7 linked regions of the Macaca fascicularis genome follow. The protein of the gene in region 1 purifies or fractionates together with the protein of each later gene. This does not show direct contact. Links are inferred from orthologs where the notes say so. Each region holds a gene or a part of one and is shown in the gene's direction. Other genes may lie near its edges. The genes, in order: CAPZA2, TWF1, KIAA1671, CRACD, MTCL1, CNOT1 and WASHC5.

Region 1 (4,318 bases):
ACAGGCATGCGCCACCACTCCAGGCTAATTTTTGTATTTTAGTAGAGATGGGGTTTCTCCATGTTGGCCAATCTGGTCACGAACTCCTGACCTCACATGATCTGCTGCCGAGACCTCCCAAAGTGCTGGGATTACCGGCGTGAGTCACCACGCCCGGCCCCAACTGTTCAATATATGTTTGTTTAATGAGTACAAAAATGAGCTTCTTGAGAACAGAAGTTTCTCTTTTTATTTCAATAGTTTTGGAGTACAGGTGGATTTTTGGTTACATGGGTAAGTCCTTCAGTGGTAATTTCTGAGATTTTAGTGCACCCATCACCTGAGCAGTGTACCCTGTACCCAATATGTAGTAATTTATCCCCTCCCCAGTCCCCAAAGTCCATTTTATCATTCTTATGCCTTTGCACACTAACAGCTTAGCTCCCACTTATAAGTGAGAACATAAAATATTTGGTTTCCCATTCCTGAGTTACTTCACTTAGAATAATGGCCTCCAGCTCCTTCCAAGTTGCTGCAAAAGGCATTATTTCGTTCCTTTTTATGGCTGAGTAGTATTCCATGATGTATATACCCACATTTGCTCTATCCACTCATTGGTTGATGGACACTTAGGTTGGTTCCATTTCTCTGTAATTGCGAATTGTGGTGCTATGAACAGGCGTGTCTAGCTTGTTTTTTTCTCCCTCAACACTATAGCCCCAGAGACTAACACAGTGCCCCGCACCCCGTTAAAGGACCAGAAAATATTTGTTGGATGAATAAAGGAATATATAAAGAGCAATCTTTCAATTATGGAGCGGGTCGTGTGTGTGTATTTTAATGAAAGCCGACTATTTAATTTTTTGTTTGTTTGTTTGTTTTTTGTTTTTTGTTTTTTTTTTGAGACAGAGTCTCGCTCTGCCGCCCAGGCTAGAGTGCAGTGGCGTGATCTTGGCTCACTGCAAGCTCCGCCTCCCGGGTTCACGCCATTCTCCTGCCTCAGCCTCCCGAGTAGCTGGGACTACAGGCGCCCGCCACCTCGCCCGGCTAGTTTTTTTGTATTTTTTAGTAGAGACGGGGTTTCACCGTGTCAGCCAGGATGGTCTCGATCTCCTGACCTCGTGATCCGCCCGTCTCGGCCTCCCAAAGTGCTGGGATTACAGGCTTGAGCCACCGCGCCCGGCTATTTAATATTTTTTTAAAAACAATGTTTAAAAAGCTTCTATTTGTCCACCTTTTCAGATTTTAGCTGGCAGAGTTCAAGACTTGATAGAAACATAACGAAGGGCTCAGAATGTACTCATCGCAGACTGAGCCCATATGGTCACTGTGGGGAGAGAACGTTACACTCACGATGCTAGCAAGCCTGCTGCAGGCGGCCCCGGGAGACAACGTCCCCCGCCCGGCCACCAGGCACCCGCGCACGCGCACAGCCGCGCTCAGTCCCCGAGGGCCGGGTCGAGGGAGGCGGGGCTCTCGGGGCGCGTGCGCGGCGACCTGAGCGGCGGGCCCCTCCCTTAGCGGGGGCGCGCGGCGCTGAGGACCGCACGGAAGCGGGGAAGTCAGGTGGCCGCTGCCGCCGCCGCCGCCGCGGTTTGTCGCCAGAAGGAAGATGGCGGATCTGGAGGAGCAGTTGTCTGATGAAGAGAAGGTAAGAGTCGTGGGGGTGGCGGCGCCGGCCGTCGGGAGCCGGCTCAGCCCGGGCGGGTGGGCCCAGAGTCTGGTCGCGGGGGATGGGCATTGGCTCGCAGCTGGCGGTGCCCTCGTCTGCCCTTCTTCCCCCATCCTTGCTGCGCCGAGTGCCTGCCCCTGTCCGTCACCCGAGGCCCCGCGCGGGGGCAGGTCTTTGCCAGGCCTGCTCGCTCCGCTCCTTGTAGGGTGTGTACTCCGAAAATAGGAAGCGGGAGCCGGGCGACGGCGGGCGGGGGCGCGGGCGCGGGGGAGGGCGGCGGCTGCCCGGGACTCTCTCCTGCTATCCGGCCGCGGAGCCTGCGCCGGGGGCCGGGGACCGGGGACGCAAAGGGGTCTGCGTCCGTGCCTGGGAGCGGCCCAAGGGCAGTGCCCAGCGCGGCGGCCTGGCCTGTGAGTGTAGCGGCGGGTGAGGGGGAAGGGAAAAATCGCTTAGGAAGCAGACCTTCACTTCTCCCTTCTACTTCCCCCTCCCCAAAACAAAACGCTTCCTTTTCTGATTCTCTACGGTTTATCCCTTTTTTTTCCCTTTCCCTATGGAGGCCTCTCTCTCTCCCTCTCTCTTTCGTTTCATGGCTCTAGCAGTAAGCTTTGCAGCTCCCATGTTCCCCGGGAGGCAGCGGAGTTGCTCACAAAAAGACGACCCCCTCCCCATAGTTGTTTTCTGCCCACGTTGTCAGCATTCTCCCCGGGGGTCGATTTGGTGTCACGTCACCTTCCTGCTAGGACTTCTTCCGAGAGGGGAAATTGTTCTACTCCTTTTACTGTATGTCAGATGCTGTGACAGCAGTGGAACCAGATGAACTACTTAAGTTCTCAGATATTTAAAAGGAGCAATGGAATAATTCATTGAACTGCTGCTCTCTTAATTCGCCCCTTTCGTTTGGCTTTCGTGAACGTCCCATTCCTGAGGGTGGTGGGATAGGGGAGAACCCTGCTAATTTTGACTGTTTCTCGGAAAGGACACTGACGTTTCTCAAACTTAGAAGTAACTGACAGAACATACGAGTGAGTTAGTTGTAGGGTTGGAAATGTCCACTCTTCGTTAAAGAGTGCTCCATTTTTAAATTTCAAAGCAGTACAGCCAATGGAGGAAAATACAGGTACATTTAGGTACGTTGTGGTGTTTAAGAAATCCTCGTGTAAGTCTAAGAATATTTTCATTTGGGACCCTCTGCTCTAGGTGTTTTTATATGCTGTGTTCTTGCACCGAAATAGAAGGTTCTGTCCCATTCCCAATGTGAATGGTCAGAAGTCAGCCTCATCTTTATTTTCGGAAATCTGTCTTTCTCTTGTGTTGTTTGGTGAAAGTGATAATACAACAACAAAATGGGGGCGAGCAACGTCTCCATAACCCACAGACCCAGTAGGCAGATCCCTGTATCCACAAAAGTTGCTATACAGTATTGAATGTATAATCTTGGTAAATAACCCTAAGTAGGTGACTGAAAATGTACAGGAGTGCACAAACGCATATTTAAAATTGAGTCGTGCTAAAAAGCTTAAAAAGAGATTGTCGTGTTTTTATTCTACCATTCTTAAGTGGTGATTAGTAGCTCAAGTGGCTAGAAATCTAGCTGAAGAGAGAATACTCAGTGTGGGAGTTAATAAGACCTGCCATGTGTTGTAAAGGCCTAAAATTAAAAAGTTTTTTAAAAATGAGATAACAAGATGCCTTATTATCCGGCACTCTCAGGGCACTAAGCTTCATAAAGAGGAATGAGGAGGTTCTATGTCTTAAAGCCTGCGCCGCCTAGTAGCAAAATGTTTTATGGTTAAATGAATGAAAATTCTAATTTGATTTTTGGTGTTTTGTAAGAATATTATGTAGATATTTTACATATAAATTTCATCACTATATTTACTAATTTAAAAACTGAGAAAACTTTTAGGTTAAATTCAAGTAACCAGTTAAGTGAAATTTTAACGTTCTTGTCAATTGAGATATCTAAAGGTTGTTTTCATTTTGGGGCAGGAGGATGTGTCCAGTATGGGATCAGAAAACAGAGAGGACTTAAAAGTGATATTTTGATATTACTCTTTCTACGCCTTATTGGTAATTTTCAAAAATAAGCTGTCAAGCTGGGCATGGTGGTTTGCACCTGTAATGCCAGCTACTCTGGATGCCAAGGTATGGAGGATTGCTTGAGCCCAGGAGTTGTAGACCAGCCTGGGCAACAAAGCGAGACCTCATCTCTAAAAAAAAAATACTAAGTTTTGAATACTTTTAAGTTTTTGAGATTTCCATTCTAGATTGCAAATCTGAGGAAGGGAAGCTGTTAAGATGTATCTAGTACTGTACTTTATATATGCTTGGCTCAGTTAGATCCATTCATTACTTAATTTGTTGTTGTAAGAGGTAGTTGTTCTATTTCCATTTCACAGATGAGTAGAGTGAGGTTCAAAAGCTTTAAGTAGTTCACCCAAGGACAGTCAAGATGAAGGTCTTGTTACATTATGCTCTCTTCTTTTTTTTTTTTGAGACAGAGTCCCCCTCTGTTGCCCAGCCTGGAGTGCAGTGGTGCAATCTCGGCTCACTGCAACCTGTGCCTCCTGGGCTCAAGCGATTCTCCTGACTCAGCCTGCTGAGTAGCTGGGATTACAGGCACGTGCTACCATGCCCAGCTAATTTTTGTATTTTTAGTAGAGG
Region 2 (4,224 bases), on another chromosome or scaffold:
AGGACTGAGCATATGGTGGTCTTTCTCAAGGATGAATATAGAAGGATTATATTTTTCTCATCTGTACTCTTGAGCAACGCCAACTTCCTTAAGCAATTTCCCTGAGATATGAGGATATGAATCAGTTAAAACACTGCAAGTCAACTCTGCAATTTTCTCTCTGCTCAGCGATGTAGTAAAAAACTGGTAAATCAGGGCGAACCATTGTGTCAGGAAGAATTGGGTTAGAATGAAACTCCTCCCTACATTTCTTAAATCCATACAAGTCATAAAACTCAGATTTAGTTTATTACCGAATATAAGAATATGTCTGAAAAACAGAGCTCAGATAACAGGGAATAGACCATAACCTTGTTTGCTGTGATCCTTGTAAAGAAAAACAATTGCAGGCCTGTGAATTACTCATTAAAAATACATTGTATAGTATTTGAATAGTGATTAACTCGCACTTTTATTATTGACCTGAATAAATTACTTGTTCATTAGATTATAATTTTGTATATGTGTCACTTCAAGGCCCTAAAAATAAGAACTAGCTTCTCACCTAGTAGCAGTAGAGAAGCAGTACCAAAAAAACCCAAACTCCCCCCAAAACTAACATTACCTTTCAGGAACTATATGTTTGTAAAAGCCGGAATGGAAAAGATTTTAAAGTAATACCTGCTGTTACCTTACAAATCTGTCCAAGTGAATTTTGAATAATTATTGGATTAAATAATAAAATGCCAACCTAAAGCAGAGCAGGATTTGCAATGGTATAATCGACCACAGAGGGATACTCAAATCAGCTAATCTCTTAGTGGCTGTCTCTTTTTGGAGTGAAGAGAAAGATACAGTGAGTCTCTAAATGTGTCCAACTGAAAAGAAAAGTTAACAGTCTGAGATTAACTCAATTTAAAATCGTGGAAAAATTTGATGAAAGGCAGTCTATAATATATTCTTTCAAAACAGTGGAGCAAGGAGAAGGCTCTTCTACACTAAACGGTATCGATTATAGGAAGAGTAAACCAAGAAAGATAATGTGCACATCTTTTTTAAGCTGAAAATGCCTATTTGGTAAAATGATCATTTCTGTTTTAAAACATCCCTTCGCTGAGGCAGCGAATGGCGGCGTCGGCGCGATCTTCAGAGGGCAGACGTCGGAGCACGGAGCTGTGTAGATTCTGCGGCATTTCCCCCCAGGGAGAAGCGGGAGAGGCGGCGGCAAGAGCAGAAGTAGAACCCCAAACAGAGAGCTAAGGTCGCAAGGCCGGGGGTTGTACTGCAGCCCGACTGCCAGGAAGGGCGGTGGGGCGGTCGGGGCGCTCGGGCACTCAGTCAATCTCACGGGGCGGGGCGGCCCAGGGTCGCGGGCGGATGACGCGCCGGGACCGGCGGAGGAGCAGCCACTTCCTGGGGCCGCCGGCCGGGGCCGCTCGCCGCACTCAGCGCCGGAGCCGGGAACTAGCGGCCGCCGCCATGTCCCACCAGACCGGCATCCAAGGTAACAGAGCCCGGCGCGACCCGCAGGGAAGGGGCTCCCGGGAGGCTCGGAAGAGCCCGGAAGGCTGCAGGACGGGCAGGGCTGGAGTTTGGCCTGGACCTCCGGAAGTCGGTCTTGCGGGGCGAGCCGGGCCTCGGCGCCTCTCCGCGCTCTTGCTTCCCGGGCGCTCCCGGCCTGCGTCCTCCTCCATCCCGGTTCCTGCTGCCGCCACGTTGCAGATGGACTCGAAATTCGGGGGAGCGAAGGAAATTGGCTTTCGAGGCGGCCTGGTTGAAGGGGGCGTGCCTTCCACCGTCGCCGACATTAGCCCAACTTTCCCCCTTTTGGTCAGGTAGGGAAGAGCTGGGACAGTGGAGGCGACTGGGGCTTCCCTACGCTGTCGAGAGCCAGGCGAGTTTTCCTTTTCATGATCCAAAGGAGAATATTACAGGACTTTGATTACGAAAAGAAACATGCCAGAATCTTTCTCACATCAGTAGGGGTGCTTCCCAAAACTCTCCCGCACTTTCTCCCCAAATAGGAAAGTGAGAGTTGTTCTGAGAAATCTCGAGTGTAGCGTGTTTGTGTTTTGATCTTTTTCCTAGGTACTCCCCAAGGGAAACTGATCTGTATAGTTGCATGTAATGCGTGCAGACAGTTCAGTGTGCAGTTATATCTGACCTCCATTATTTCCTGGTTTGAAATTGGGCAGCCTGGAGGTGCTCACCTCATCAAGAGTCAAATAATATATCCCCGGGTTACTCGCGATCACTTAACGAGTTCTAGTATAAACTCAAGCTTTTACTGTTAATAGCGAGTATTTCTCCCAGATGAACACTTAATTGTATGTTTTGTTCTTAAAGATTTTTGACACCACGCCACATACCCCCTGCATGCACGCAGAAGCAAAATAGTATCAAATCTAAAAGCGTTGTTTTATTTATCCGCATTAATTTCGATATATAAATATGTCGTTATTGACTCTCATGCTTGAGCCTTATAGCAAGCACTACCTACTTACATAGTGGTTCTTGCTGCTAATAGACAACACAGGAACGAAATTAGAACGAAATCGAAGCTTTAATAGGAACACAAGCGTTAGTTATTAAATACATATTTATTCAATGATTTTAATCTAGCTTTTGAGAAATGCAAGTTAGAAAAATATAACCAGAATTAAGACAATGCATTTTACTGTCTTTTTCTTTAATCAAGTTAGGATATTTGATATTTACTGTTGTTTTTAACGGGAAAATACAGAAAGTGAATTGATGAAGGAGTGTCATAAGCTTGAAACTGAATTAGAGAATGAAAGCAGGTTTTCAATATTTTTCAAAGGAGCAATAAAAGTTTTTCAAAATTGTAATTTGCTCATTATTGGGTTTGAGTAACTTCAGTATATTCACCCCAGTGTTATTTCTGCACAGAATTATATAGCTAAAACAGATTAGAATTATTAACATACTTTTAAAATGCTAATATTTATATTTCTTAATTGTATACAGTCTTCATTATTTTATGCGGTAAAGTTTTATAATACTGATAATAAGGATGCTACATGCTCCAGATTTTTTCTTTGTGTTCTAATTAATTTTTTCAATATAGATAGGAAAGTATTTATATGTAAGTATAAAAAGTTTACTTTCTTTATCTTTTTCCACAGCGAGTGAAGATGTTAAAGAGATCTTTGCCAGAGCCAGAAATGGAAAGTACAGACTTCTGAAAATATCTATTGAAAATGGTTAGTTAAATATTTTAAAATATTTTTTGTTCCTGGATTAGTGGTGGCCGTTGTATTTTTAAACTTAGTGTGTGTTCTCAGTGATTTGAACTATTAATGTGAAGCAAGTTCAAATCTTCCCTTACAGTAACTTGGATTCCTCATATTTTGTGCAGGTCCCTGTGGGCCCCTGATTTCCTTCTGAATTATGTGACTATCAGGGAAACAGAAAGATGTTTTTTGATGTGACTTCTTCCTCTTTTACTTTTTGTGTCTTAGTTTCTGCACCACAGTCCATTTCTAATGTCAGTGCTTCCATCTCTGGAATGGAAATCACTAAACAGGTGATTATCAAAAAAAAAAAGTTACTTGTGAATTATTCAATAAAGTTTGTTTTTAAATACAAACAAAGGATTTCAAACTCCCATTTACTCCATTTGATTGCAACCTTTGCTACAGAAATGATTATCACCCTTTCTTGTTTTGGGAAAGTTCTGAGAATATAACAAACTACAAATTGATCCTTTAAAAATAATTCTGTAAACAGGGAATCTGGTTGAGTGGGAGAATCTTTTAAATCAGGCAGATTTGAATTTGGACAATTACTACTGTTATAGCTACTCAGTCACAAATGAATATGTTAAAATATTCCAGCGGCCTAATTTCTTAAATATCTAAAAATATTTTGCTTTGGAAAAGTAACTTGTTCTTTCACAAACTGGAAGTAAATCTAATTTGTTTTCTGTTTTCTGCTTATGTATTAAAAGTACCACAATAGTTGGTAAAATATGCATTTGTTTACATATAACATTCAATAGGAATATATGTATATTGTAAAACAACATATTTTAAAAATACTGAGGTAAAATTTTTAATACCATCACTTCCTAAGTGACCAGTTAAGGATCTAAAATGGAAAAGTTAATCTAACTAGCATCTCTACAGAAGGAAAATGGCACTACTTCCTAAATTATTATTTTCTGGTTTTACTTTTTTGTTTTGTGAAAAGTTTTAGATAAGGAAAATTCCAAAGACTAAAATT
Region 3 (4,135 bases), on another chromosome or scaffold:
CGGGGTTTCACCATGTTAGCAAGGATGGTCTCGATCTCCTGACCTCGTGATCCACCCGCCTCGGCCTCCCAAAGTGCTGGGATTACAGGCTTGAGCCACCGCGCCCGGCCTCTTTCTTTCTTTTTCTTTTGAGACGGAGTCTTGCTCTGTCGCCCAGGCTGGAGTGCAGTGGTGCGATCTTGGCTCACTGCAATCTCCAAGTCCCGGGTTCAAGCCATTCTCCTGCCTCAGCCTCCCGAGTAGCTGGGATCACAGGCATCCGCCACCACGCCCAGCTAATTTTTGTAATTTTTAGTAGTGATGGGGTTTCATAATTTTGGCCATGCTGGTCTCAAACTCATGACCTCAGGTGATCCACCCGCCTCGGTCTCCCAAAATGCTGGGATTACAAGCCACCGCGCACAGCCTGTGATATCCTTTTCTTTTTCAGCTTTATTGAGGTCTATCTTGCTTATAATAAAGGCACATTGATTTTAGGTCCTCCAGTTATTTATGCTCTGTACATTTCCCATAGGAGCACATGTCACAGAGTCAATTCGATATACTCGCGAAATTATTTGTTTCAATATCTGTAAGCTGCACAACAGCCTGGATTTTGCCAGCTGCCCACCACTGGGTCTCCAGGACCCGGTATACAACAGGTGCTTAATAAAGATCTGCTGAATGAAATGAGTCAAGGATAACAGAACAGGTATTTTCTTTCAGAGGCGACTTCCTACGATTCTCTCAACTTGTCACAAGTTCCTATACCCATTACCCCACAACCCAAATCCACAACACAATGGCAGGAGGATTCGCACACAGTAGGCGCCCCAGGGAACTCTCGGGTGCAGTCCCCTTGCTTGGCGCGAGGAGGCGCCAGCACCGCGCACAGACCTTGCCCGCCCCCGGGCCGGCACCAGCAGCCCAGGCAAGTCAATGGGCCCACATTTATGGAGCACCTCCTTAATTTCTGGGTTGCATTAGGCTTTCGGGGTCGCCGGCTGGGCAGCGGGTCGGTGCCGGTGGCGGGGAATCCTGGCTGGTGACTGGGGAACATCCAGGGGACGCGGGAGGGGACCGGGAGCAAAGTTCCCAGTTGGACAGAGCCGGGTCGGGCCTCGAGGGGCGGGAGCGCTTCCGGCAGGGGTGTCCAAGCGAGTCGTGACCTCTGACCCGCCGGAGAGGTCCCAGGCCCAGGCGCCACTGCCGCCTCGGGTCCTGCAGGCTCTGTTCCCCTCCGCGCAGGCGCGGCCGGCCGCAGTTCCCATGGTGACGGGGGCGCGTCCCCACCCGAGGCCCCGCCCCCAGCAGGCTAGGCTGCGCGGGGCTGCGGGCTCAGCGGGCAGGTGCCGCGGGCTGCGGGCAGGTGGCGGCGCGGCGCGGGCTGGCGGTGGCTCCACGGTAGGTTGCGCAGCGGCTGTGGGGAATGGGGGCCGGCTGGTCACCTCCTGTCCCCGGCCGGCGAGGTAGCTGGGGGTGACGGCGGCGGGCGAGGGCCGCCAAGTTTCTGCCCGGCCGAGGCCCCGGGAGAAAAGTTGGCAAAGTTGGCTGGGGAAGAGGCGGGGACCGGGAGGATTTCCCCAGACTCCGGGTCTGCGGGGAGGGAGGATCCCGGTTTGGGAGCCGGGGAATCCGTCTCCCGAGACTTGAGAGTGGATCCCGCGGGAAGATCCCGCATAGGGCAGCCAATGGATCACGTGCCACCCGGTTGGCGACTTGGGAGTCGATCCCTGCAGGGGATCGGGCGCTGGAGGCCTGGGGTCCCACTGGATCCCCAGTCAGGGGTGACGGCAGAGGGCGATTCAGAACTGGGAGCGAGAGGATCAATCTCCTCCCACGCTAGCCTGAGCCTTGCGAATGGATTCAGAGAGATCCGGTGGCCGGGAGCTGAGGGATCGCTGGAGATCTGGGTTACTCAGCCTGAAGCTGTTAGGGTCTGGACATCTGTGCGGGTTGGAGGCCCCGGAGGTGGACAGTGGGAAGCTAGGGCGGCGAGCGAGATGGAGTCTGGGTCGAGGGGAGCCCGGAGGACGGCGGGGTGGTTCGGGGGGCGTGAGAAGGGCAGCGCGCGGGGCCCCTCGGACGCGGAGGCTCTGGACGCGTCCTCCCGGCCTGGCCTGCGCCCCGCTCCGCTCGTCTTTCCAGGGCGGAGGCGCCCTGATGAGATTAAGCCTCAGTCCCCCTGTTCCCAGGCAGGCCCGCGTGATCCCCGCCCCGATGGCGGCGCGGCCCACCCGGTCTCACGGGTGGGGCTCCCGGGATGGGAAGCGGCTCGTTGACCCCCACCAGAGCCAGACCTTTTCACGCCCTCCTGGCACACAGTTGCCTGGGAGTGGGGGCGCCGCGCCTTAAAACCCTGCTCTTCGTCCAGTCCCGAAGCAGGCGTGTGACCTCCGCCGCGCGATGCCTAGGTGGCCAGGGCTTCCTGCCCGCCGGCACTGAACTTTCTGTAGCCAGGAGCAGCCATTATTTTTTGGAAGGGAAAAGACTGTACCTGTTGCACAAAGAAAAACACTTTCTTTGCACCTTCTTTGTGACCTTGGGCAGAACACTTATCTGAGTCCAGATAGGGACCTTCTGGGCAAAATGAGCTTGGCCTAGGAGGGTCTGCATCCTCCCTCTTCTAGGAGACTGGCAGGATGGATCGGAATGAAGGGTATGAAACAGGTAGGGGCTCTATAAGTATCAGTGCCTCCCTCAGTCTATGGCCTCTCCTTTCCCATGCCCCATCCCCTGTGCTTGCCTTACAGTATCTAAAGATTCCAGAAACCCTACTTGCTGTCTTTGAAACTGCAGGATTAGAGAGCTATTTAGCTTAACCTTTCTTCCAAATGGGTTAATTGCCCCTCTGATCCCCCCTTGCAGAGAGAAGTTCTGAGGTTTGGCTAATGAGTAACCAGGACATTTGGACAAGGCTTCTCCCTTGGCCTGGCTTTCCCTCTGCTAATCCATCAAGGTTTCTGGACAAACATGCGTGTGTACCCCCAGACTCTGGCGCCTCCCTCCTTCCTGTTGCAGGCAGGGACAGTTCCTGAGGAATTTGTACAGACACAAGCCCAGATCTTGGTGGTTCTGGCAGGGGGATCCTTTTAAAGGATTTGCATGCTTGTCAAGGGTGCAATTAACCAAGAGAAGTGCAGAGTTTCAATGCAGTGTCTGGGCATATATTTCAGCTGGGCATATGAACTGGCTGGCTCCATCAACCAGCATGTACTGAGCACCTATGTCAGGAGCACTGTAGAAATGGTGTGGCCTAGGGCAACTCAGGATCTGTCCTCTTAGAGTTATTTTCCAGCTATGGAGCAGTCAGCTTGCCCTGCAGTCTAGTACTGATTCTGGATGTTGGGGATACAGTTCTCACCCTAGGTTCAGAGGCTGGAAGCTGCCCCTGCCCCCATGGAGGTCCTGCGGGCTGTTTTTTGTTTGTTTGTTTGTTTTGTTTTCTTTTGTTTTTTGAGATGGAGTCTTGCTCTGTAGCCCAGGCTAGAGTGCAATGGCGTTATCTCGGCTCACTGCAACCTCCGCCTCCTGGGTTCAAGCTATTCTCCTGCCTCAGTCTCTGGAGCAGCTGGGATTACAGAGGCCTGCCATTTTGCCTGGCTAATTTTTGTATTTTTAGTAGAGACAGGGTTTCACCATGTTGGCCAGGCTGGTCTCAAACTCCTGACCTCAGGTGATCCTCCCGCCTCGGCCTCCCAAAGTGCTGGGATTACAGGCGTGAGCCACCGTGCCCGGCCTCACAGGGATATTTTATATGTGCATTCATTCATTTATTTATCATTTGTTCCTTCAACAAATCTTTCAAGACACTGTATCAAAGATGAGGCTAGCAGCCACATCCTTAAGGGGATATTTTATGCCCTGAAAGTCTTTGTGAACATAGGCACTTGTCTGGAAGGGGAGAACCATGATCATAGGAGGAGGGGCTGATGCCTTTGGCTGTGAGGAGGGATGGGAGTCAGAGAGTTTAGTTTTCTCTACAGCCAGTGGGAAGAGGTTGGTGTTATGGACTGCAGAAGTGGAACAGCTTGTGCAGAAGCCTGGAGGTAGGGGAGTGCCTAGGGTGTTGACTGGGGCCAGGCCAGCCATGCTTAGTGGTTTGGACTTTATTCCTGGGGCGTGGGGTGCTGTGGATCACAGTGAAAGGGTCTCT
Region 4 (3,548 bases), on another chromosome or scaffold:
ACCCAATAAGGCATGCGCCATTATCATCTCCACTTTCTAGATTAGAAAACTAAAGCTTAGAGAAGTTAAGTAGTTTTTGTAAGATCATCAAAGATCAAATCCAGGTCTGCTCAATTTCAGAGCCTAGTGCTCAACCTGTCACACCAATCCCCTGTGAGGTATTCACCCCCAGTTACATAGGTGAGACAGTCAACCATAAGAAAAACAGAGACTGAAGTCAGAAGGCCTATGTTCTAGCTTCAGAAGCCTGTGTACTAACTGCTGAGTGACCATGAGCATGGCACTTGGTGGCTGGAGTACTCACATCTATTAAATGAGGGCAGTGGACCAAAATCATGGGCTTCCCACAGTGTTCCTCAGCTGCTCCATTAGGCAGAGTGGTGCCCCTTTTTCATCTTTCCAACTTTGGAGTTCCACGTAGTATGTTCTTTGAGGGGAAAACCATGGTTCCATGGCTAAAAATAAATTTCATTTAAAGCAGTTAATTAGGGCCGGGTGCAATGGCTCACGCTTGTAATTGTAGCACCTTGGGAGGCCAAGGCAGGTGGATCACTTAAGCTCAGGAGTTCAAGACCAGCCTGGCCAACATGGTGAAACCACGTCTCTACCAAAAATACAACAATTTGCCAGGTGTGGTTGCGGGCACCTGTAATCCTAGCTACTCGGGAGGTTGAGGCAGGAGAATTGCCTGAACCCAGGAGGCAGAAGTTGCAGTGTGCCAAGATTGTACCACTGCTACAGCCTAGGTGACAGTTCAAAACTCTGTCTCAAAAAAAAAAAGGAATGAATCAAAAAAAGAACAATGAACCAAATACCTATCTGGATCCCCTGGAGGCCTGAGATTTTATGACCCTGGAGATTTATTTTAGTTTTTTCTAACGGAGTAACTTCTTCCATTTCTAGGGAAGACAAATGCCCTTGTTTTTCTGATGATCAAACATGTTACCTTCCCACCCAGTGGAGCCACTCAGGCATCAGCACAGAGTTTGTGCTAGGAAGGGGCCAGCTGAATATGCCATAGGGTTATTAATATGTCACAAGTTTTAGGGGGTGAGGAACTGAGATAAGTCAGCAGTTAAGTTCACTGTAAACCGGCCTTTGTCTTGTTCCCTACAGAGAAGCCAATGCTTCAGAGCAGGCACTCCTTAGATGGCTCCAAACTTACAGAGAAAGTGGAAACTGCCCAGCCGCTTTGGATAACATTAGCACTGCAAAAGCAAAAGGGGTTTCGGGAGCAGCAGGCGACACGGGAGGAGAGGAAGCAAGCCAGAGAGGCCAAACAGGCAGAAAAGCTCTCCAAAGAAAATGTGAGTAGCCTGGGCTTTAGCTGTGATTTTGCCTTCCTCAGCTTAGCTCTCTTTTCAGTCACAAGGATACAAAACAAAAGGCTAGCTGGGCTGGTGGAAAGTACTTAGAGAGGACTGAGCAGTAAATAAACTGACCACCATTAAACCAGGGAAGCATTTTCAGTGTGAAATTGGATTTGATTTCTTTATACTCTTAGGTTAACCTGATTTGCCATAATCCATGATGTGCTTACAGCAGTGATATACAAGTTACGTGAGAAACAAACTTTTTGCAAGGAAACCAGGAGTCTTATTCCGTGGCCTGATGTTACAGTCAGTTTGGTGGGACTTTTCTGGGAAAGTAACTTTCCCTATTAGGCACACTGGCTCTGAGCTGCTCCCTCACCGGGAGCCATGGTTGAGCATACATGGCGCATACATGTAATCCAGCCCACCATTGGAAGCAGAGGTCAGGGGCTGGCAGGCAGAAGCCCAGAAGGCCTGCAGGGTCAGTCTTTCCATGTCTTAGGTTGAAAACATGCTTCCCATGACTGTCTCTGCCCATGCAGGTCAGTGTCAGCCCGCAGCCTGGAAGCAGCAGTGTCAGCAGAGCAGGTTCCCTGCACAAGTCCACTGCTCTGCCAGAAGAGAAGAGGCCCGAGACTGCAGTGTCCAGGCTTGAGCGCAGAGAACAGCTGAAAAAGGCCAACACTCTTCCTACGTCTGTGACAGGTAGAGAGCAGGTCCATTGTTTTGTAACTGTGGTTCCAGGTTTCTCTTTGTAGAGCGTGCTTTATATCCTACAGTGTAATGACTAGCAGAGCACCTCAAGCATTTCAAAGCACAGGCTGTCTGATAACCTCATTCATAAATGTTGACACTGATTAAGCTCTTGATAAAGACCACCAGGAACTCACCCACTATCAGTGATGTGTTGGTGAATACTTAACAGTTAGCTCTTGAGGGGGTAGAGAGACCTTTGTTTGGAGCATCTTCAATTTCTCTGTGTAAATAGAGAACCCTGGCCAGTTCAAAGCTGTTATACCAATATGATGTCAGCTGGCTCTCTACATTTGTGAACGTTTAGCACGGCAGTATGAGCCATCTCCAGCACCCTGTGCCTATATTCTGACAAAGTTGGGTTTATTAACTTACAGAAGAACCTTCTAAACAAGGGAAGAGACAAAATTATAATAGGACTTGGGGTAAAGGGTGAAGTTTAGGTAAAATTTAAATGGAGTAGCGTTTTAATAAGTCAGATCAAAGCCATGGTGTACATAAAGGAGATAATATGAAGACTGAGCTGAAAAGTGTGTTCAGGCTTCTGTTTCCTTTAAAACTACAAAGTTAAGATAAATGTTTGAAATGTTTGAGGTCATGGATATCCAACTTACCCTGATTGATCATTACACATCATTTACATGTATTAAAATGCCACATGTACCCCCAAAATATATACAAGTATGGTGTGTGTGTGTGTGTGTGTGTGTGTGTGTGTATATATATATACACCAATTTTAAAAATACAGAAAAGAAAGATAAATGTGGGCCAGGTATGGTGGCTCATGCCTGGAATCCCATCACTTTGGGAGGCCAAGGCAGGCAGATTGCTTGAGCCCAGAAGTTGGAGATTAGCCTGGGCAACATGGCAAAACCCTGTCTCTACTAAAAATACAAAAATTAGCCAGGTGTGGTGGTGCATACCTGTAGTCCCACCTACTTGGGAGGCTGAGGTGGGAAGATTGCTTGAGCCCAGGAAGTGGAGGTTGCAGTGAGCCAAGATTGTGCCACTGCACTCCAGCCCGAGCGACAGTGTGTCTCAAAAACAACAAAAACAGAAAAGATAAATGTGTAAAATGTTGTATCTGAAAACTGCTACCCGGAGCTCTGCACCTGGGTTGGAAATGGAAACTGCATCTCTATGTCATGGTGACACTTGGCTCAGATGCTCCAGGCAAAAGTGAAATGGTCTGTTCTCACTGGTGTGATTTCACGCAGCAGGTTTCTGCTAGTCTGTGACTTTACAGAGTAAGGTTTCTCAGCACAGTGTCCTTGATGTTAATTAACAACAGCAGTTTTTATATGTTCATGACGTGTAAGAGATGTACACATTTAGAAAATATTCTTTATTTGGTTAAAAGGTAAAATGATGTAATATATCCAACTATCTTCTTATTACCAATCACTTGGAGGATGGATGACTCTGAACAGGCTCCCTCCCAGGGGTTAATAGGGCATCTGTTTTCCCCACTAGGCTCCATT
Region 5 (4,090 bases), on another chromosome or scaffold:
CCAATTTGCTTTCAGAGAATTGAGTAGATACTGGCCAGGAGGGGACATCCTAGGCACAGGGGTCTTGCCTGAGGGGGTCTTTGGGCCCAGCCACCCAGGACTGGTTACCAACATTTTGCTTACATATGTGCACTGGCATGTGCTGAAATGAGGTGGGACCCTAATGCGATAAGGCTTTTTTTTCATTTTTCAACAATCATACCACAAGGAATAAACCCAAATATATCTTGTCCTTCCAAGTGAGCACCGTAGGTGACAGAGTAGATGCTCAATAGATATTTGTTGAATGAATAAAGAACAAAGTCATCCCCACTCCAGATATCTTGAGAACGTCTCTCAGAATTGCTTTCAGAGTCTGAGTCAAAGCACATGAGAAAAGATATACTTTGTTTTTGATCAAGGATGATATAGTCATTCACTCACCTCATCCACTGGCCTTAACTCGAAGTGTTAAGTACAAAAGTATCTGTTGTCAAATACAACAGACGTGTCCCCGTGAAAAAAATGACAAGGAACACAGGGGGAGGGCCATTTCCCAGAAACGTGCTACAGGTGCGGCATCCCAGGACAAGATGCCATGCAGCGACCACAGTGGCTTCTCAGGAAAGCACAGCATCATTTGCTTGTACACGCTGGCGTGTTACTAAGGAAAAGGTTCATTCCCTTGAATGCAGACTCACAACGTTTCTTCCTTCACAAGCAGAGGCTGGCAAAGGGGGTACTGAATGGTCTCATACAAAGCCTGCTCTTTAGCACCAGCCAGGAGGAACAGGATACAGTGGTGTCAGATAAACCGATGACAGCAGCTTCATCGACACACAACACACACAGAACAGATATACAATACACAACACACACACTACTCTTACAACAAGGGGAGCACAGACACAAAACAGATACAGATTTCCCAAACCGTGTGTCCCAGCCAAGCACTGTGGGCTGTGGTGAGATGACACAGGAGCACCCTGAGTTAGTCTGCATCTTGGGGGCTGGTGGAGTTTTAACTGGAGAGGTGTTTCTGGTTGTCACGGTACTGTTAGCATAATGCTTTGGGAACAGAACCTTCTCCCTGTGGCCGTGTGAAGTGCCAGCCACAAAAGCAGCAAGGAGCATGAAGCATAGTCTCCAGGGCCACTGTTCCTTGTCTGCTGACCCCAGAGGGAGGCAGGGAAACCACTCGCCCCATTGCTCTTCTGGAAGCCTGTGGCTCCCACGCTCTCCTTGGGCCATGCTGTCTCTGCCATGTTCCATCTTCTCCCGAGTGACACTGCCCATTCCGTGCAGCCATCTGTCCCCCCGCTGCTGCTCCCCTGCACCACTGGCTGGGCTGTCCTCATCCTGGTCTTTTCAGTTGCTTGTCACATCTTTTTACATCCTCCAACTCACTTCCTTTCTTTGAGAGTCCTTGTTCTCTGTCATCCTTCCTGTGCCTTCCATTCAGTTCACCTCAGCGTCCAGTGTCTTGTCATTCCAGCCAGCGGGCTTCACGCTGGGCAGCTCAGTTTCCTCATGCCACAGCTTTTTACATTTCTGTGTATCAGCAAATTCCAAGTTTGGGTGTCCTGGTTTTGTAACATGTAGAGTAAGGACAAGGAACTCAACATTCTTTAAAAACAAAGTAGCTTGAGAATAAGGATTCTAGGTGATTTGCACATGGTTGAATGTGTCTTGCGTCACCTGTTCTCAGAACATTAGGATGCCTGAAACAAAACCACCAGTACATTCTGATTCTACTTTTTAAAATGCTGCTGTAATTGAAGAGTCATTAAAGAAAACTAGACCCAAATTAAAATTTCTGCCTGCAGCATCTTTGCCATGTTGTGGGAGTTTGTTTAATCTACTGCCAGTCAATTTCAAATAAACAGTAGCAGAGTTCGTTTAAGACGACTGCCATTGCTAACACAGCTGAATGAAATCAGAGGTCCCTTTGTGGGCTCCCAGTAGATCCAGGCCCTATAGGACCAGTTCATTTGTCCACTGTAGCTAAATAGATCATTCTAAAGGACCAAATGAAGAGATCTACCAGATGGGAATATGCTGAAGTGGCCTGTGGAGACCGCTGCCACAGTCACTCTGCCATGTCTTCTGTATACCCCGACCCAATTCTAAAGGAGCTTTGCAAGCTGACTCATCTCACAATATTGCTGTGTTTAATCATAACTGGTCTCTTCCCATTCATGTCACTGATCATGTCACATGTGTTGAATTCTTTATTATTTTAAGTTATTCTGCATGAGCATAGAACGTCGTTAATATTCACGAGTTGCCTGTGGTGTGTACTTCATCTCACTTGAGTCTGTTGAGAAGTGTGTTTGGGGGAATCATCCGCTGGTGACACTGCCGGTCTGAGTAACCCTGTCTCCCTTTCTCGGCTCTGAAGGAACTACCTTGTTCTGCACTAGCTCCATCCCTAGAGCCCTGCTTCTCCAGGCCCGAGAGACCAGCAAACCGTCGCCCTCCGTCCCGGTGGGCCCCACATTCCCCCACTGCCTCACAGCCTCAGTCACCCGGAGACCCGACGTCCTTGGAGGAGCATGGTGGCGAGGAGCCGCCCGAGGAGCAGCCACACCGTGATGCAAGCTTGCATGGATTATCACAGTATAATTCACTGTAATTTGCATAACCACACCATCGCCATGAACAAAACTCTGCCCAAAAGGAGAGATCTAGTTTTCTCAAGGTCAAAGAATGTTTTTTAAAAACACACAGCTGCTGAATGTTCAACCTGTGAAACTGAGATGTTTCTAGAATGAAACAGTAAATGTGCCTGTAATAACTTAATTTTTTTCATAGCTCAGAAAACTATTTTTGTCTCCATCTTTTTTACACACAGTATATTAAATGAAAAGGTAAATAAGGTATAAATAGATTTAAAAAATAAAAGTTTTAAAAAATGTACATTTTAAGAGATTCTGAACACCCTTGCTGTCAATACCTGACTGCCTCTCTGTTAAATTTACCCTGTTACATTTTGGTTCAGTTTATTTCCATGTTGAATTAGAGTGGATTAAGTTAATTTTATTTTGTCAGTGTTACTGTTTTTTAAGACTTTTTTAATGCTTCAGACTGTCTGATTCAGTGAACTTTTTGTAGCGAAAAAGCCATGAAGCTAGTAGACAAGACAGATATTCTGTATACTGGAGGGGATACAGGACGTTTTTGAAAAGGTACAAAGCCCTCAGTGGGCTTAGAAACTTCATTGTATGATCCTTGTATTATGCTACTTGGCTTGCACGTCTTCGGGTGCATGTATATACCGCTACTGTGTCCTCGCCATCACCTAAATGTGACTCAGTCTGTTCCACTGTAATATGTTGTGAATTTCCTTGTACTGTACTTTTATTGTTGGTCTTCTTGCATCGATGATCCAACAGCAACATTTTTAAATTATTGTGAAAAGATTAACTGGCAGTGTACAGAGTTTACTCCAAGTTTTCTTAAGGGAAAACACGACAAAAAGGCACGAGGATACCAAATGGAACCATGTGCTGGTGCCTCTGAGTCTGTATGAGACCGTGATGAAGTAGAAATAAAGCCCTTCCGAGATGGCAGCGTGTCTCGGGCTCTCATTTCACACACCCTCCATCTCTTCCTAAGGACTCGGATGGAAAGTTTTCCGTGGCTACAGGAATGAGGGAGAGAGATCATGGAAAGAGACAACAGCTGCTGATCTATCTTGCGGGGAATGCACGCTTTGGGTACCTGATCATGTTGCAGTTTTACTGTTCTCTGTAAGAGAGTCCTAGGATGGAGAGACGGCTTTATTGTTGAAAAGCCAAAACTGTGGTGTGGGCAGGGATGTGAGGAAACTGGTTACCTACAAGTCCGAGTGTGCCCGGCCTCTCTCCCGGCTTTGCTCGTTAGGAGAGAGGGAGTGGCCGGTAACGCCAGGAGAGGCCTTTCCACGGCTGATCCTGAGATGTCGCCCACCTCTCAGTGTTTGGTGGAGTAGAAGCCTACAAAGAAGTGAGGCTACTGAAGAGCCCAAAAAGAATGATTTCAGGCTGAAGCTTCTGGCTTTAATATTTCATTGAATGCTTCATTAACCCAACAGTTTTCTTCTTATCTAGATGAGCTAATGTAATAGGCT
Region 6 (4,268 bases), on another chromosome or scaffold:
AAACACGAGTAATGTCAAGCAGAGGCAGACAACCAAACCAAATTAAGATAATACTTACTCCGATGTAGTTTAGATTAATGGTTCTCAAAATGTGCTGGGTACCCTTAGGGTGTCAAGACCTTTTTAGGAGGGCTGTGAGGTCAAAAACCGTTTTTTAAAGCAATAGAGTCTTGCTGTCTTACCCAGGCTGGAAGGCAGTGGCTAAATATCGGCTCACCACAACTTCCGCCTCCTGGGTTCAAGCGATTCTCCTGCCTCAGCCCCGAGGAGCTGGGATTACAGGCACGTGCCATCACGCCCAGCTTATTTTCTGTATTTTTAGTAGAGATGGGGTTTCACCATGTTGGTCAGGCTGTTCTTGAGCCCCTCATCTCAAGTGATCCACTTGGCTCAGCCTCCCAAAGTGCTGGGATTACAGGCGTGAGCCACCCCGCCCGGCCCAAAACTGTTTTCATCATAAAACAACATTTACATTTTTGGGTCTATTCTGTCATGTATACAGTTGAATTTCTCAGAGGTTACATGAAATATACTGTAACAAGTTGAACACAGAAGCAGAAATGAAAATCCAGTTGTCTTTTATTAAGCAAGACTTAGAGATCTGCAAAATGTAGAAAAACGTAGTGATGAGTGTCACCAGAAAATAGTTCATGTTACTTATATTAGCATATAGTGGGTCTGTTTTTAAAAATGAATATTTAAAAAAACCTAATTTCTAATGTGGAAAATACTGAAATAAAACTCACAGAAATGAGAACTCTTCGGGGTCCCGAGAACCACTGCTTTAAACCAAAGATTAATTTGAAAGCCTCTGTCAGAAACCCAAACCCTAGCCAGTTAGAACTGTTTTCCCATGTTGGCCTTTCAGTCTAAGTCCTAAGTCAAGGTTTCTTAATTTCTAGGTCGCTATCTCTTTTTGAATGCAATTGCAAATCAGCTCCGGTACCCAAATAGCCACACTCACTACTTCAGTTGCACCATGCTGTACCTTTTTGCAGAGGCCAATACGGAAGCCATCCAAGAACAGATCACAAGGTAAGAAAGCAGCTTATTTTTTAAATGCTTCAAAAGGGTTTTCTTCCTTTCATCTTAAATTCTTTTTTTTTTTTTTTAAATTCTCTATGCTTTCAGTGTTCAGTGAAAATCTATTGTTTGGTTGGTTTGGGTGTTTTTGTTTTTTTGGGAGATGGAGTGTTGCTCTGTCACTGAGTCTGGAATGCAATGGTGCGATCTTGGCTCAATGCAACCTCCACCTCCCAGGTTCAACCTTTCTCGTGCCTTAGCCTCTCAAGTAGCTGGGATTCCAGGCACCCGCCACCATGCCCAGCTAATTTTTGTATTTTAGTAGAGACGGGGTTTCACCATGTTGGCCAGGCTGGTCTTGAACTTCTGACCTCAAGTGATCCGCCCACCTCAGCCTCCCAAAATGCTGGCATTACAGGTGTGAGCCACTGCACCTGGCCTTCAGTGAAAATCTTTTACATGTCCAATAATGTATTAAGTGTGGGATACAATTGTGAGCAAAATGGGGATGGTTGCTGCCCTCCTAATACTCATTCTGATGAACATGTATCACAAGTAGAGAATTATAAATCGTAATCATGGCTTAAATGAAAAGTAGTTTACACCACAAGGCACATTTTGATTAAAGGTCAGGAGTTTCTCTGAGTTGGTGGTGATAACCAGTCCTAAATCATGCATGCCTATGGAAGACTGTGTTAAGGACCTTGGACTTTTCCTCATTACCTCTGGGTTGAAAGCAGTAGCAATAACAGGAAATAACAATAGTTAGGAATCTGTTGCCGGATTGCCTAGACTATATATAGCATTAGAGAGATTGTGATATATATATACACACACACACACACACACTTTAAAAATTGGACTAGACTCTTAAAACTTGCTCATTTGCCTAATACCTATGATGCTAAATATGGTATTCCTTTGTGTACTAAAATTTAATATCTTATTGGATGCTTAGATGATGATGATCCATTTTGTTTATATAAAGCTGCAGTAAGTCTCCTTGGGCTTGTAATCTTTGTTATGCTTCATGTACAGTTGGTATGTGAAAGGATATAAAAGCCAATACTGGCATTCAGAAAAATTTTACCAATTTACACATGCACTAGCAATGTTAGAATTCTTTTGAGACAGTCTCGCTTTGTCGCCCAGGCTGGAGTGCAGTGCCTCAATGTCGGCTCTCTACAACCTCTTCCTCCTGGGTTCAAGCAATTCTCTGCCTCAGCCTCCTGAGTAGCTGGGATTATAGGCACCTGCCACCACGCCTGGTTAATTTGTTGCATTTTTAGTAGAGACGGGGTTTCACCATCTTGGCCAGGCTGGTCTTGAATTCCTGACCTTGTGATCCACCCGTCTCAGCCTCCCAGAGTGCTGGGATTACAGGCGTGAGCCACCGCGTCCAGCCTGCAGTGTTAGAATTATTATTTTCTATTTCCTTACTTTTCATTGAGAGCTTGCTTGCTTGCTTATTTATTTGAGACAGAGTCTCTGTCGCCTAGGCTGGAGTATAGTGGCATGATCTCGGCCCACCACAACTTCCCACCTACCAGGTTCAAGTGATTCTCCTGCCTCAGCCTCCGACTGCTGGGATTACAGGCATGTGCCACCATGCCTAATTTTTGTATTTGTAGCAGAGACGTGGTTTCACTATGTTGGCCAGGTTGGTCTTGAACTCCTGACCTCAGATGATCCACCTGCCTCAGCCTCCCAAAGTGCTGGGATTACAGGCATGAGCCATTATGCCTGGCCTGGGAGCTTATTCTGGAAATTACTTTTTGTACTAACTTCGTGTGCCATGTACTCTGGGCTTTATGTGGCTTCCTCTCCCCCATCACCCCTTATTCTGAACAGTTCTGAGGTAGATACCATTATCTGCACTTGACATTAATACTTAGTCTTCTAGGGCTAAGAGCAAGGTTCAAACCCAGGTATTCCATCCCATGCCATTTGGAGTATATTGATTAATCCACCTGTCTTTACTACTAAAGGTGAAAACTTTTGCCTGTGGTTTAATAATCAGGGAGAAGTTAGAAAAAAGGGTAATGGAAGAATCATCATGAATTTGTATTCTTCTCTGCATTAACTAGCTCTTTTCTCCCCTTTCCCAGAGTTCTCTTGGAACGGTTGATTGTAAATAGGCCACATCCTTGGGGTCTTCTTATTACCTTCATTGAGCTGATTAAAAACCCAGCGTTTAAGTTCTGGAACCATGAATTTGTACACTGTGCCCCAGAAATCGAAAAGTGAGTTCAAAGTAATTTTTAATTGTCTAGGAATGAGACTGGAGACTGAAAACCTTATTTGTCTCTAGGTTGGGTCAGTGATTAGTAGTTGAATGAGATGCAGGGTATTGTTAGGCCTACTCTTTAATCACAGATTTGTAACTGTCTTCATCCTTCAGGTTATTCCAGTCGGTCGCACAGTGCTGCATGGGACAGAAGCAGGCCCAGCAAGTAATGGAAGGGACAGGTGCCAGTTAGATGAAACTGCATCTCCGTTGTACGTGTGTCAGCCTAGAGGTCTCACTGCACCGAGTTCACAAACTGAAGAATCCTTTCAGCTCTTCCTGACTTTCCCAGCCCTTTGGTTTGCGGGTATCTGCCCCAACTACTGTTGGGATCAGCCTCCTGTCTTATGTGGGCACGTTCCAAAGTTTAAATGCATTTTTTTGACTCTTGGCCAAAATTTAGAAGATGCTGTGAATATCATTTTGAACTTGTGTAAATACATGAAAGAGAAAACCTTTGTCTGGAACTTCTTGGCTTTGTGCAAGCTGTGTCCAAGGCAAGTACATAAACTGGTACCTTGTAATAAAGAGGCAGCTGATGCCATGCACTTGTCTGAGGGCATAGCTCCATGTCCTCTGACATTCCTGGTGTCCCAAAGAATAGCAAATGCCAGTTTGAATATTATGTAACTTATTTTTTTAATGTGGACAGGGGACCTTAAAAATCACTAAGTTATTAAAAATGTGGATGTGCTAGAATTTGATATGTCTGGGAACATGGGAAGGGCTCACAATTGGAATCCCATGAGTTTCTGTTTTTCTCTACCCAAACTCATTCCAAAGCTGACTGCATTTGTACCATCTTACTTATTTTGGGGATTACACACCTCAGCCGCGTGAGATGGGGGTCAGCTCTTTATAATAAAGGGAAACTAGACCAGGCCTAAAGCCCACCCCCTACATCCCTCTTCTGAAACTTAAAAACAGTGGGAATATAGGAAAGGGAACCAAATCTCAT
Region 7 (4,010 bases), on another chromosome or scaffold:
TGTAGCAATATCTGTAGACATTATGGTTGGCATCTAGTGGGCAGAGGCCAGGGATACTCTCAAACGTCCTACAATACACAGGACAGCCCTCACCCCCACCCCACAGGAAAAAATTATCTGGCCTAAAATGTCAATAGCGCATCAGTTGAGAATAACTGATTTAAATCAATCTCTCTTGGATCCCTTCCCATGTAATAACACTGATCTTTTCTTCCCAATACCTATGATCTCCAAGAAAGTTTAGAACAAGTTGTGCATTTCCTGAGTTTTTTCTCTGCATGTTATTTATAGACAATATGCTGACTTCCTTTAAATCCACGGGAACCTTGTACAAGTCAGCCAGAGCTGCCTCTCCTTTTTCAGCATGCAAGGCTATACCCTTCTCTCTGAATCCTTCTCATACAATTGCTTGTTCCCTCCCCCATGCTACCATTATTCCTATCACATGCACATGTACACAACACACTCCCATTATGAAACTCATCACAACTATTTGCTCACATGTCTGCAGCTTCTTTACACTGAAAGCTCCTTAAACTAGAACCCTGACATATTCTATTGCATATAAAGCAGTTCTTCACACAAAATAGGGGACCAATAAAGATTTGGCGAGTTACAAAAATAACAACAGACATCATCATTTCTCGGTCACCTACAGAATGCCATAAACTGGTGTCCTGGCACTTCATTCTCCTTATCGCTAATTCTCACTGCAATCTACATAAGTGAAGAGGAAACTGAGGTCCAGAGAGTTTATTCAAACGACCTTCCCGTGGCCTTACTTTTAAAGTCAGTTCAAACCACATCTATTTGGATCAAAAATTCGTGATCTTGCCCTTACACACTTGTGGCTAACGGATGGAGAGATGGCGCCTCGGACAGGAGGGTAAACTGTCCCAGACTCACTACTGTGGCGTGAAAAGGGCCACAACCATAATCCAGGTCGACGAATTCCCGGCTCGGGGTCCCCGTGGAGTGTCCCTGAGGGAGGCGACAATTCCCGCCACCTTCCCCATTGCCGTCCCCCGCTTCTTCCCTACCTGGTTGTCCGAGTTGTCTCCGTCTGGTGGCACCCCAACTTTCCCTACTTGTACCCACCTCCTTTCCTCAGCCCCCTTCGCCTGTAGCTGAAAAGTGAGCGCGGGCTCTTGCGTCATCATCCGTCGCCGGCGAGTGGTCACATGATGCCCCTCCCTGCTCACCGCCGCTTCGGTCATGTGACCGTCCTGGAAGTCAGGGGCGGAAGCCCGGCTCTGACCCGTTCCAGGTCCGGGACTGGGGATAGAAGAGGACCGCCGCCGTGAGGGAGGGGTGGAACCTGGGTGCCGACTCCGCGCGCAACCTCCTGCCCTGCGCGTGCGCCGCTGGCGCGGCCCGGCTGACAGGTGAGTGGGGATGGGATGAGCGCGCCCCATTTTTGCATGGCCCCTTTCACCTCCCCGCTGGGCCGTGCTGGCCCTGGGGAGGTCTCCAGCGTCGCGTGCAGCCTGGACGGGGGACTCGGGATGGAGGGCTTAGGGGCTTTCTGGGGCGGGGGCTGCAGTCCAGCTCTTCGTCTCCGCTTAGGGGGAACTCATTTTGCACACTCCTTCCTCGCTTTAGGAAGCACCGTTCAGCTGGCTGCTTGGTCCGAATCTCATCCTTCCAAGTTTCCGGGAACACTGCAGTGTGGATGTCGTCGTTATTTCTCTCTTTGCTTTTGAGAAAACTGAAAGGCTAGTAGTGAGGACTTTTACAGCCTGACGGACCTGGATTTGCATTCTAGTTATGCCATGGGCTGTGAGTTTGGGCAAGTCATTGCTGCTCGCTGCGTCTTAATGCCTTCACCTGTGCTAATGCCAAAATCCTTTGCATTTGGCGGGGGGGGGGGGGGGGGGGAAATGTTCCCAAGGCCCTGATTCCTCTATGATCGGACAGGAAAAAGAAAAAAAGTCACAGAGTCGTAGAACTGGGTCTCCTGATTGCAAGCGCATGGAGCTCCCTCAAACATAGGTGAAGGGTAGTGAGGGAGAAGTTTTCCTGTCTTTGCGCACAACAAGGGACACCTTCTCTAATTGTCCTTCACCTGCCTTTCCCAGGATTTCAGGTTAAGCCTCATGTCAGAACTTTTCTGGAAAACATATGCAGCTTGCATTTATTTTGACCGACAACCATTATATTTTGTTTGTGATAATGGATTTGTGGAGATCAGTGCTTCCTTTATGGAACTGAGGTTTTGCGAAAGGCTAAATATAGACCTACCTTCTTTTGTCCTCTGAAGGGGGTAAACAGTGTTTGTCCACGACAATTCGATTTCCTTAAGAAATATTATTCTGCACGCTGGGTAATTGGTATAATGATGCCATGCCTCATTCTTGAAAGCATGTCTTTTGATTAGGATTACTTCCCAAACTGAAAATCACAGTTCCACGCCAAATTCTTAAAAATGAAGTTACTGGCGCTTGTAAAAGAAAATAAGAGAATATAGTGGGATCTCTGGATTTCATGCCGATAGTAATACAGCCTGTATTGAGAGAGCTGATCTTCAAGTTTTCTTAATCCCTAGCACGAAGAGAACCTCTGAAAGGATAATTTACCATAGCTTCTTCTACAGAGTTTAATTGGACCTAATTCTAAAGTGGTTTTTTAAGACTTAACTGAGTCTTAACACCTTGTAAAGCCATCCACATACCTCTTAGCTGCAACTTGATTAGGCATTTTTAATGATGGTTCTTAGATTCTGTTCTTCAGGACTAGTCCTTCAGCCAACGAGGGGGCTATTTAACAATTACTCTAGCCAAATTATATTTGTGCAAATTATGGAAATTCCATTTGTTACATGGAAAATATAACTAGTCCAGGTTAGGAGGTCTAGTACGTAAAATGTAACTAAGTGATTTCCTTCTTTCATTTAATCTTGTTTTAACTTCTTCCATCTTCAAAAACTTAGCAGGAGATGCTTGCATTATTAGAAATAGAAAACACAAGTGCCCTTCATGGGGCCAAACAGATTACAAGCAGTGAGTTCATTTCACTAAAAGTATATTAAATATAACATATTTTGCTTTCGCGTTAAAAATTTAATATAAAGTTTATATATTGAATTTTAGAAAGGCGATTTATGTAGGTAATAAAGACCCTACTTTATATTTGTTTTACTATTTGTTTTACTATTGCCAAACATATTTGATTATTATTATCCTTCTCATGTTCTTTTAAAGTTGTCTACAATGTAATTCTTGAGTAAAGACCTAAGGATTAAAATAAGAGATTGACACACGAAAGTCTTGATTTCTGTTGTTATCCCAGACTGAAGCTTCCCTGAATGTGTGCATGCAGGTGCTGAGTCTGTCTGTCCTTCTGTATGTTGGGAGAGAGTAGAGTAAAGGGAAGGTAATGTTACTTTGCTTTAAGATGTTTTTCCCAGGTCTACATTGTTGCCCTGTCATGGTATCCAAAATCAGGTAGCTCTTGGACCTGTTAATCATCGCTTGCCCTCCTCTTCATGAGTCTAGAGCAAGCTTGTCTAGCCTGAGGCCCACAGGCTGCATGTGGCCCAGAATGGCTTTGAATGTGGCCCAAGACAAATTTGTAAATTTGCTTAAAACATGAGTTTTTTTGTGTGTGTGTGTGTGTTTTTTTAAGCTCATCAGCTATTTTTGGTGTTAGTGTATTTTATGTGTGGCTCAGGACAATTCTTCTTCCACTATGGCCCAGGGAAGACAAAGATTGGACTCTCCTGGTGTAAAGTTTCATCCTACTTAGACCTTCTGGGTTAGTTTGGTGGTCTTCAGAGGGCTTTAGGAGGTGACTGTTTTGCCCATTGTCCATTATTTCCCTTTTCCCTCTCTCCTTTCCCAAGCCAGACCATCTCCATGGAGAAAATGAAATGAAATTATCTGAAATTCAGCCTGTTAGAGATCAGTGTGATTTAACAAGCAAGTATCACAGAGGAAACTAAAAGAACTTGTTAATAATGTATGCCTTAATGTGTATCAGAGGGTACCTTCATGAGAGTTCTAGACAGCTGT

What was found.
Region 2: the proteins of CAPZA2 (region 1) and TWF1 purify together in Homo sapiens (affinity purification with mass spectrometry; 3 studies listed by BioGRID and IntAct, with this or other methods). This does not show direct contact. The link is inferred for Macaca fascicularis from reciprocal best matches to the Homo sapiens genes CAPZA2 and TWF1.
Region 3: the proteins of CAPZA2 (region 1) and KIAA1671 purify together in Homo sapiens (affinity purification with mass spectrometry; 3 studies listed by BioGRID and IntAct, counting the BioPlex papers as one, with this or other methods). This does not show direct contact. The link is inferred for Macaca fascicularis from reciprocal best matches to the Homo sapiens genes CAPZA2 and KIAA1671.
Region 4: the proteins of CAPZA2 (region 1) and CRACD purify together in Homo sapiens (affinity purification with mass spectrometry; 3 studies listed by BioGRID and IntAct, counting the BioPlex papers as one, with this or other methods). This does not show direct contact. The link is inferred for Macaca fascicularis from reciprocal best matches to the Homo sapiens genes CAPZA2 and CRACD.
Region 5: the proteins of CAPZA2 (region 1) and MTCL1 purify together in Homo sapiens (affinity purification with mass spectrometry; 3 studies listed by BioGRID and IntAct, counting the BioPlex papers as one, with this or other methods). This does not show direct contact. The link is inferred for Macaca fascicularis from reciprocal best matches to the Homo sapiens genes CAPZA2 and MTCL1.
Region 6: the proteins of CAPZA2 (region 1) and CNOT1 purify together in Homo sapiens (affinity purification with mass spectrometry; 3 studies listed by BioGRID and IntAct, counting the BioPlex papers as one, with this or other methods). This does not show direct contact. The link is inferred for Macaca fascicularis from reciprocal best matches to the Homo sapiens genes CAPZA2 and CNOT1.
Region 7: the proteins of CAPZA2 (region 1) and WASHC5 purify together in Homo sapiens (affinity purification with mass spectrometry; 3 studies listed by BioGRID and IntAct, counting the BioPlex papers as one, with this or other methods). This does not show direct contact. The link is inferred for Macaca fascicularis from reciprocal best matches to the Homo sapiens genes CAPZA2 and WASHC5.

Annotation. Positions count from the first base shown.
Region 1 is NC_088377.1:158,309,077-158,313,394, forward strand, and holds the start of CAPZA2 (F-actin-capping protein subunit alpha-2), read left to right. Parts: upstream 1-1,501; 5' UTR 1,502-1,591; coding exon 1,592-1,630; intron 1,631-4,318. UniProt on the Homo sapiens protein: F-actin-capping proteins bind in a Ca(2+)-independent manner to the fast growing ends of actin filaments (barbed end) thereby blocking the exchange of subunits at these ends.
Region 2 is NC_088385.1:50,420,155-50,424,378, reverse strand, and holds the start of TWF1 (twinfilin-1), read left to right. Parts: upstream 1-1,386; 5' UTR 1,387-1,458; coding exon 1,459-1,483; intron 1,484-3,125; coding exon 3,126-3,203; intron 3,204-3,461; exon of another isoform or gene 3,462-3,526; intron 3,527-4,224. UniProt on the Homo sapiens protein: Actin-binding protein involved in motile and morphological processes. Inhibits actin polymerization, likely by sequestering G-actin. By capping the barbed ends of filaments, it also regulates motility.
Region 3 is NC_088384.1:26,514,516-26,518,650, forward strand, and holds the start of KIAA1671 (uncharacterized protein KIAA1671 homolog), read left to right. Parts: upstream 1-1,296; 5' UTR 1,297-1,383; intron 1,384-4,135.
Region 4 is NC_088379.1:77,533,658-77,537,205, reverse strand, and holds part of CRACD (capping protein-inhibiting regulator of actin dynamics), read left to right. Parts: intron 1-1,116; coding exon 1,117-1,307; intron 1,308-1,855; coding exon 1,856-2,018; intron 2,019-3,548. UniProt on the Homo sapiens protein: Involved in epithelial cell integrity by acting on the maintenance of the actin cytoskeleton. Positively regulates the actin polymerization, by inhibiting the interaction of actin-capping proteins with actin.
Region 5 is NC_088392.1:77,249,823-77,253,912, forward strand, and holds the end of MTCL1 (microtubule cross-linking factor 1), read left to right. Parts: intron 1-2,380; coding exon 2,381-2,614; 3' UTR 2,615-3,551; downstream 3,552-4,090. UniProt on the Homo sapiens protein: Microtubule-associated factor involved in the late phase of epithelial polarization and microtubule dynamics regulation.
Region 6 is NC_088394.1:54,624,389-54,628,656, reverse strand, and holds the end of CNOT1 (CCR4-NOT transcription complex subunit 1), read left to right. Parts: intron 1-902; coding exon 903-1,035; intron 1,036-3,131; coding exon 3,132-3,266; intron 3,267-3,424; coding exon 3,425-3,503; 3' UTR 3,504-3,764; downstream 3,765-4,268.
Region 7 is NC_088382.1:134,751,252-134,755,261, reverse strand, and holds the start of WASHC5 (WASH complex subunit 5), read left to right. Parts: upstream 1-1,206; 5' UTR 1,207-1,385; intron 1,386-1,602; 5' UTR 1,603-1,779; intron 1,780-4,010. UniProt on the Homo sapiens protein: Acts as a component of the WASH core complex that functions as a nucleation-promoting factor (NPF) at the surface of endosomes, where it recruits and activates the Arp2/3 complex to induce actin polymerization, playing a key role in the fission of tubules that serve as transport intermediates during endosome sorting.